Linked DNA regions of Drosophila melanogaster. The protein of the gene in region 2 purifies or fractionates together with the protein of the main gene of each other region. This does not show direct contact. Each region holds a gene or a part of one and is shown on either strand. Other genes may lie near its edges.

The links.
Region 1: the proteins of MCTS1 (region 2) and DENR purify together in Drosophila melanogaster (affinity purification with western blotting; one study listed by BioGRID). This does not show direct contact.

Annotation. Positions count from the first base shown.
Region 1 is NC_004354.4:16,884,994-16,888,573, reverse strand, and holds DENR (density regulated protein), read left to right. Parts: upstream 1-2,013; 5' UTR 2,014-2,045; exon of another isoform or gene 2,046-2,117; 5' UTR 2,118-2,136; coding exon 2,137-2,256; exon of another isoform or gene 2,257-2,274; intron 2,275-2,345; coding exon 2,346-2,607; intron 2,608-2,714; exon of another isoform or gene 2,715-2,772; coding exon 2,773-2,960; 3' UTR 2,961-3,028; downstream 3,029-3,580. Other genes in the region: CG4880 (uncharacterized protein), read right to left, coding at 340-951, 1,164-1,607; Polr3I (RNA polymerase III subunit I), read right to left, coding at 3,058-3,498, 3,558-3,580. UniProt on the Drosophila melanogaster protein: Regulates translation as part of a complex with MCTS1. Specifically required for translational re-initiation in mRNAs containing upstream open reading frames (uORFs). Not required for standard translational initiation.
Region 2 is NC_004354.4:6,035,960-6,040,141, reverse strand, and holds MCTS1 (malignant T cell amplified sequence 1), read right to left. Parts: upstream 2,251-4,182; 5' UTR 2,174-2,250; coding exon 2,163-2,173; intron 2,102-2,162; coding exon 1,949-2,101; intron 1,880-1,948; coding exon 1,577-1,879; intron 1,267-1,576; coding exon 1,185-1,266; 3' UTR 566-1,184; downstream 1-565. Other genes in the region: rux (roughex), read left to right, coding at 3,052-3,073, 3,164-4,149. UniProt on the Drosophila melanogaster protein: Regulates translation as part of a complex with DENR. Specifically required for translational re-initiation in mRNAs containing upstream open reading frames (uORFs). Not required for standard translational initiation.

The DNA of each region.
Region 1 (3,580 bases), about 11 Mb from region 2:
TAATATCGTGGTTGAATGCTGTCAACTTACAATTTAAATATAATTCGTTCATTTAAATTTATTCTTATATGATACCATTGGTTTTCTTTTACAAAAATTTTGTCATTTGTCGTCTTAATTTCATTTACACATATGGTAGTACAAAAATAGCAAAGTATTGGCCATATATGTATGTACATGTACGATACACAGGAATAAAACATTGGTTTTTGATTTACAACATTAAACTTTGTTTGCTGATATTCCACGGATGCTAGCCTAATAGTTTTTGCCAACCTGCTTTTAAATTTATCACGACTGGTTTGCAGAATTGTCTAAAACGTAAACTTTAAAAACCTACTAAAAGGAACCTACTGGAAGGACTTGGTCAGTATCCTGGGAGTCTGCGATTATTGGTTTGCCGTAGAGCAGGACCTTGGCCAAAATCGACTTGCAGCCAGAAGCGCTAGCATCGATACTTTTGATTATCTCTTCTACGTGCTCGTCTTCCAGGTGCACCATTGCGATGGCGGCTTCCCTGCGGATGCAGTCGACCAGATGGGTGGGATCCAGAGTCGCAAAGGTGACCAACTGGGTGTGTGGCATATTTCTAAGGATCTCCATATCCATCTCAAACTCCTCGCCGGGCTGCATGCTATTCACATTAAAGATAAACACAATGGTCAACCGCTTCTGTTGCGGATGCTCAGTGTGGTTGGCGCTCTTTTCGCCCTCACTTATCATTTCGTTAATGATAGGCACGAAGTGTGCATCCTTCGGCGTCATGTTATCAATCAAGATCATATTCTGTCCGCAATATGTCAGGCCGGATAGCATGCTCTTCACTCGGCCCAAAGAAGAACTGCCGGTCCAGGAGAGTGTATTCACGTTCTCGGGCCAGGGAAACGTTTCGCGCAAGATTCGCGCAGTGTGGCTCTTGCCTACGCCAGAGGTGCCCACCAAGACGATTGCCTGTTTGGAAGGAGATCCGGGATATTAATACACAAAATATTGGCAATTCATTAAGTTTACTAAAGATCATCTAGTTGTTTGTTGCAATAACCAGGATAAATCTGGATGAGCATATACAACAACTGGTAGTACAATCAATAGTAAACTATACTAAGTGATATGGAAAATCCGCTTAGGATGCACATTAAATCTACTGTTTCCCCGCTAGTCACCTCATTGGTGGTGTTGTCCAGTGCCAGTTCTAGCTGGTTCAATGCAAGATCCTGGTTGAGTACCTGGTGGCGGGCGTGCAGGACCATGTCGCCCAGCCGTCGGGAGGGATTGCAGTAGTTGTCCTGGTTGTGGACGATCGAGTGGTACTGGTTTTTGTAGCTTTCCAGGAATCCGCTGACCGTGGACAACTTGTCGGTGAACTGCAATAACATGCCAATTCCTGCGGCGAGGGCGAGAATGAGGTATGCCCAATTCCGCCATGGAGCCTTCTTCTGGGTACAATGGGCAATGTCCAAATGGTGTTTGCACACCTTTTTATTCAACCGCCTGTTGGACTGCAGGCGGCGAATCTCAGTCCTCCTCTTTCTGGCGAATGGCCGGCTTATCGGGGCGACCACATTTTCATTCTTTTCGTTCTGTATTAGAGTATTGTATGTGACCATTTTATTAAGCCTTGTTTCGTTAGCAACTGGATATTTTTGGCTGACTTGTGCTCGAATACAATTATCAGCCTACTGTGATACAATTTGGTAAAAACTTTGGTTGCATGTTACAAACCGGCAAATTATTCTAAATGCCGCTTCCTTCATGCAGTATTTCACGAGTGTTGTTTTGATAGGCAAACATATTTTGGTATTTTACTATCGAAACATTCTTCTGTTCTGCCAATAAATACAATTTTAATAAGTATTTTGTAATACAATACAAGGTATAAATTAAAATAGTTTCAATCAATGTAAAATTAATGAAAATACGTAAATTTTAATTTTAGCTTATTGATAGTCGGAATTGTACTACGATTTAAATAAAGGTATATTTTAGGTAGGTATTTATTTAACATGTGTCAATGTTAGTATATTTTACGAGCCTAAACAAAAACGGTCAGTTTGCAGTAGCCGACTTCTTAAAACTGTCATTATTTTAATATTTCAATAACCCGGAGCAAATCCCAGGCAGTTAATCCGATCCGCAATGACGAACGAAGATGTGGGCACCAACAGCGTCGCCGACCGCCTACAGTTGGGTCCGCGCGAAGGCGTCACCTATCCGATCCAGATGAAGTACTGTGGCCACTGCACGATGCCCATTGAGGTGAGTTCGTCTTCAAACCTGGGAAAAATCCATATTAGGGATCATATATGGCCCATATATTTACATATATATATATCCACTATACGCAGTACTGCGAGTACTATCCGGAGTACGAGAAGTGCAAGGAGTGGCTGGAGCTCCACATGCCCGATGACTTCGAGCGACTAAAGATTGAGGAGGAGGCTGCCGCCGCTGACGGGACGGATGACGACAAGAAGCGCCAGAAACGCGGTGGCAAGGGACTGTTGCGCGTCAAGAAGAAAGAGGACGTGCCCAAGCGTATCTGCGTCTCGCGGGCGGCACGTGGCAAAAAGAAGTCAGTGACCGTGGTCACAGGATTGAGCACTTTTGGTAGGTTCTGTTCGCACATTATGAGTATAGAGTAGGAAATGGAGGGGGATGCGGGCCCACTGGATGCTATGAGTAGCCATTACCATACCATGTAACTTAGATATATTAGATATACTTATGAGCTTTATTGTTAACTAAGCATAATACATTCCCTGTCTGTTCCAGATATTGATCTCAAGGTGGCCGCCAAGTTCTTTGGCACGAAATTTGCCTGCGGCTCCTCGGTTACCGGAGACGACGAGATCGTCATTCAGGGTGACGTCAAGGATGACTTGTTCGATGTCATACCCGAAAAATGGGCCGAGATCGATGAGGACGTCATCGAGGATTTGGGCGATCAGAAGCGAACATAAATAATTTACCTTTTTTTTTAGCTTATTTTATACGCTCCATCAACATAAATATATGAAACGTTAAACGTAATAAGCGGATGGGTTATTTTGGCGGCTGCTACCCGAGGTTTTCTCCATCTGGTGTCGGATTGGACTTGGTTTCCATTGAAGTGGGTGCATCCGTTGCAGGCGCTGTAGTGGCTTCATTTGCTGGAGTAGCATTATTTTCTGAAGACGATGTTTCCACTGGGCTTGCTTCTTCTGCTGGAGTAGTAGTAGTGGCTTCACTTGAAGGAGTAGCGACATTCGCAGGAGTAACTCCATCACCTGGCGTGGTTTTGTCCGCTGGAGCTATTTGTTCCGCTGGATTGGATTTTGCCTGGGCATTACGCTTTACGCCAGATTGCTTGCCGGCCTTCGCAGTGGACTCCGCAGGCTTTTCCGCCGGTGTTTCCTTAGCAGCGCCTTTGGTTTCTCCACCATGGAAGTGTTTGTAGCTCAGCTGAATGATTTTCTCGTTCTCCTCATCGGTTAGTGGAGCTTTATTGTCGTCGATGAGCTGGGGAGGTTATTATATACTTAATTAGCCTTTCTGGCATATGATAGACTAATCCTTACCAGTTGCGTGTGTAGTGCACTTG
Region 2 (4,182 bases):
GCCCCACAAGCACTTTCCACAGCGATTACTCATCTGAAATTACCATTTCTTGCAATGGAAAAGGTCCATAGTCCTTGGTAACGGTATCCAGCCACCACTTGTGGTTTTTCCCTATGTTTTCCACCGTTATTCCGAACTTTACTTTCTGTTTTTTTTTTCGTTTTTCTTCTTGCCTTTCCGGGGAAATATGCACTGCACTTGCCGTTGGATGCGTCAAATGCTGTGTGACGCGAAAGGAAAGCACTTTCTCCATTTACGGCGGAGTGCGCCGTACCGTTATCATTGCGCATGCCTGCCAGTCAGCTGTTCGATTGTACCGTTTATCGGTCAGCTGAAAGTTTGGAAAAACCAGGGCGGCGGGCACAGTTTGAAAGAAGAGCATTACGCCCCATGAAAAACCTATGTAGTTTCTATACCTCAAGCCGCATACCCAATTGCATATAGAATGGGAAAACTTCACACTCCTATTTTACGTGCGGCAGTAAAAGACGCCACAAAGTATGCTATGTTATTCAAGAGTTTGCTATGGTTTTACAATAGATACCCATACAAAAATTACTTAGTTCCACGTATTGCGAAGCTTTATTTCAATAATTTTGAAGTAAAACTACTAAAAATTATAATATTACAAATAATAAATTGTGTACATTTAGTTATAAGCTCTTTTTTGTATACAATCTTTTCGTGTATTCACAAGTGCCCGGATATCAACTATAACCTTGAAATGTTTGTATGAGTTGTTCGCAGCCCTGGCAAACTTTAAGCTACAGGCCTTGTTTCGTTGCTCTTTAGACTAATCAATAAACAAAAGGAGTCACAGTTATTCAGTCACTCTTAAAATAAGAGCTAACAGAATGAAGACCGCCAAACAGAAGACTCAATGTTCAGTCATACCTGCCGAATCCGATTAAAATGCTCAAATTTAGATCCACTGGACACCTTTCACCTGGACCACTGGTCTCCACAGGTGGTTGGTTTTCTTTTTCAGTACTCTCTCTTTCAATCCCTCTCTGCTCGCTTGAAATGCCATTAATTATATTTCGCAATGTTTTAAATAGTTTAACTGACAGAGTAAAATTAGTAGAAAAAAATAATAATCAGGACTCAGTTGCGTATATCAAAAACCATTCTTTGCTCTCATGACATAGAAGACTAAAAAGTGCAAGTGCAGATTCCTATTTCGCCTACTTCACGGGCTTCGACTTCCACAGGCCGTCGTTGAGGAAGTGGTACGTCTCGATACCGATGCCTTTGTTCTTCGCCAGACTGTGGAAAAGTCAAGAGAAAAGAAAGATGTTCATGGTTTATTCAAATTTAAAAAATATGCACACGGCTCAGCAAATTGGTAACATTGTCCATTTATGATTATTCTTTCACAATTTGATTTTTCCAAGCTCAAGAATATTTCAAAGTTACAAAGCTTTACCATATTTAACCTAGCAACAAACTACTACGTTTGTATTATAAAACAATGTCAAAGACGAACATTTAAACACATTTAAGTAAACTAAATGCAAGCATATAAATTAATATTCTTAGATATTAACTACTAAAGAAGTGGTAGAAGCACACTTACATTTCCTGTGTGGATAACGTGAGGAGTCCAACGGCCAGGGCGTGCTCCTTGCCCTCAGCCATGATGGCCACCACGGTGTCCTTGTCGGCCGGCGTCATACAGGCGCCTGGCGATGTGAGGCCGGGACACATGACGTTCGCTCCGCTCAGGACGAAGCGGATGGCGCCTTTGTCCACTTGCTGCATGGTCACGAAGTAGGGGAACTTGTGCAGGAGGCGCAGGGTAGGCATCCAGGGGCCATCGCGGTGGCGAAAGAACACCTGGTCGCCGGCTCCGTTTAGCAGCAGTTCGATGTGGTCATGGCTGGTGGAGGAGTAGGGATCGGGAATATGAATGGAGTTATGTGCTGTGGCAAGAACTGAGCCATCCTACCACTTGGCGATGCGGTACGAGTCCTTCTTGGGCAGGATCAGGTCGATGTGACTCTCCAACTTGGGATAGGCCTCCAGCAACTTGGCACGTATGCCCTTCTGCACAGACGACTTCAGCTGCTGAATGCTGGAAATGCTGTCCTTCTCTTCGAATCTGCACAGATCGAATTGCTATGGTTAGTCTGATGTCCCCATCTAACTCATGCCATACGTACTTTTTGAACATTTTGCACGATTTCCTTGCGTTCTTTTTTCGTGGTCGACGGTGCTAATCCGTCTTCAATGTATGATAGAAGGTATCGGTTAGAGGTGGAGAAACATCGATGCCAACTCGATGTCATCGATGTTTTCGAAAAATCACAAGCATCGATGTGTTTCGAGGAATCATCGATGGTTTTCCATCGATACTGCGCATCGGAGATAAAAGTGTATAAATTGTACGTAAAAATTAATTTTCCATAAACGTGTAAGCGTGCACGTGCTCGTATGTATACTGGCTTACTTATCCATTGAATTGGACTAATTAGTATTTTTGTTTTATGGGAGCACTTACTGGACCGGCGACGTATGAAAAGCAATATTATGTTAGCAATATTAAAGAAGAAAATAATTCTTAAGTTGTAAACGACTAAGTCTGCCAAAGATCGATGTTTTTCGCCAAACACATCGAAAACATTGAGTCCGCCAACATCGATGTTTCTCCACCTCTAGTATCGGTTATAGAGCTTGGCCCGCTGTGCGGTGTGACCAGTTCTCAGCGGAATGCCAACTATCGCCCCTCAAGTGTGCATGCGATATATGGTATTAACAATTAACGTTTAAATAAAAATCAAACAATATTAATAGACTTAACAGATTAAAGTAATGTGATTTTTACAAGTACAACTAACGTAAAGATTTATCGGGACAACAGTAGCCGAATTACAAGTAGGCGCTGACCCCTGACCCCTCGAGCCGATAGCTAGCGTCACTTTCAACACTGGCCGATATGGCATATTACCAAAACATTGTTGTATCAACAACATAGTGTCCAAGTCGAATTGTATATATTGTAAATTATATTTATTTTTTATAAGCGCAATCGCATGAAAATACTTGAAGGAAATGAGCGCTCCAGAAGAACATAGTAAGTGGCAAACCAACGGATAACAGCTGTATGCGATTGGGCTGATCAATAGGAATCGCATCGCATCTCATCCGCTTGCTTTATTTTCAGAGGAGACGCCTTTGGAGGTGATCCATGAGTTCATCAATGGCGTAGATGATGGGACCATACGCCGCGACCTGGGGGAGGACTGCATCCTCAGCTTCTACAGTCGAAATGTGCGTGGCGCCAAGGCAATCACCGGATTTTTGAGAAACCAGTTGACAATGCGCTACAAGCACGAGGGATTCGAGGAAGCAGCACAAATTGAGTGGGGCGACGAACTTCTGCTGAAGGCGCGCTTCGGCAGATCGTTTGACTCGGAACGTCGTCGCATCTACGAGGAGAAGGAGCGCACAGGCACCACTCTGCATGTGCGTCCAGAGAGCGATGACGAGGAGGTAAATGAAAAGTTTTCCTCAACCCTGATCACACCGCCCCGTCCATCGAGCTACAATTTGAACTCCCTGAAGTATGTGGAGGCGTGTGGCCTGTTGAACAAGCGTAATGAACATATCTACGGCGGCCTGGACATGGGCGAGTCATGCGCGGTCCACCTTACTTTGGGCTATCGGAGCACCTTTCTGCCCGGCGGTCAAGTGAGCGGCTTTGAAATCTGCCTGGCTGTCTACGATCGGGGTCTGACAAGCCTCAAACGATCCACTCTGATTCCGCCACTGTGCAGCATTTCCTTTGCACGACGGGCCAGCGCCCGATGTAATCCAACCACCGATGATGAGGAGGATACCGAGGAGGATTCAACGCCGCCAACAGCGAGGCGCTGCGTGCGTCGTACTTTATTTACAGAGGAGAACACTCAGAAAGAAGAGGATGCCGATTTCATACCCGTGGTGGAGCAAGAGCAGCCAGCACCGCAGGAGCAGCCAGCACCGCAGCAGGCTGAGGAGACTGGCGAGGTAGTGATCCCCGTAGATATATCCACAGCCTTGAAGACCACAAATTTCAGCAGCTGTACACCGAGGAAACGACAACAGGCAACCAATGGCAACGAAGTAGTGCGTAAACGTGCGACGGGACCAAGGCGGATGCGTTTCTAGACCGGACAGATATTTAAACAGCTATAGTCCCTA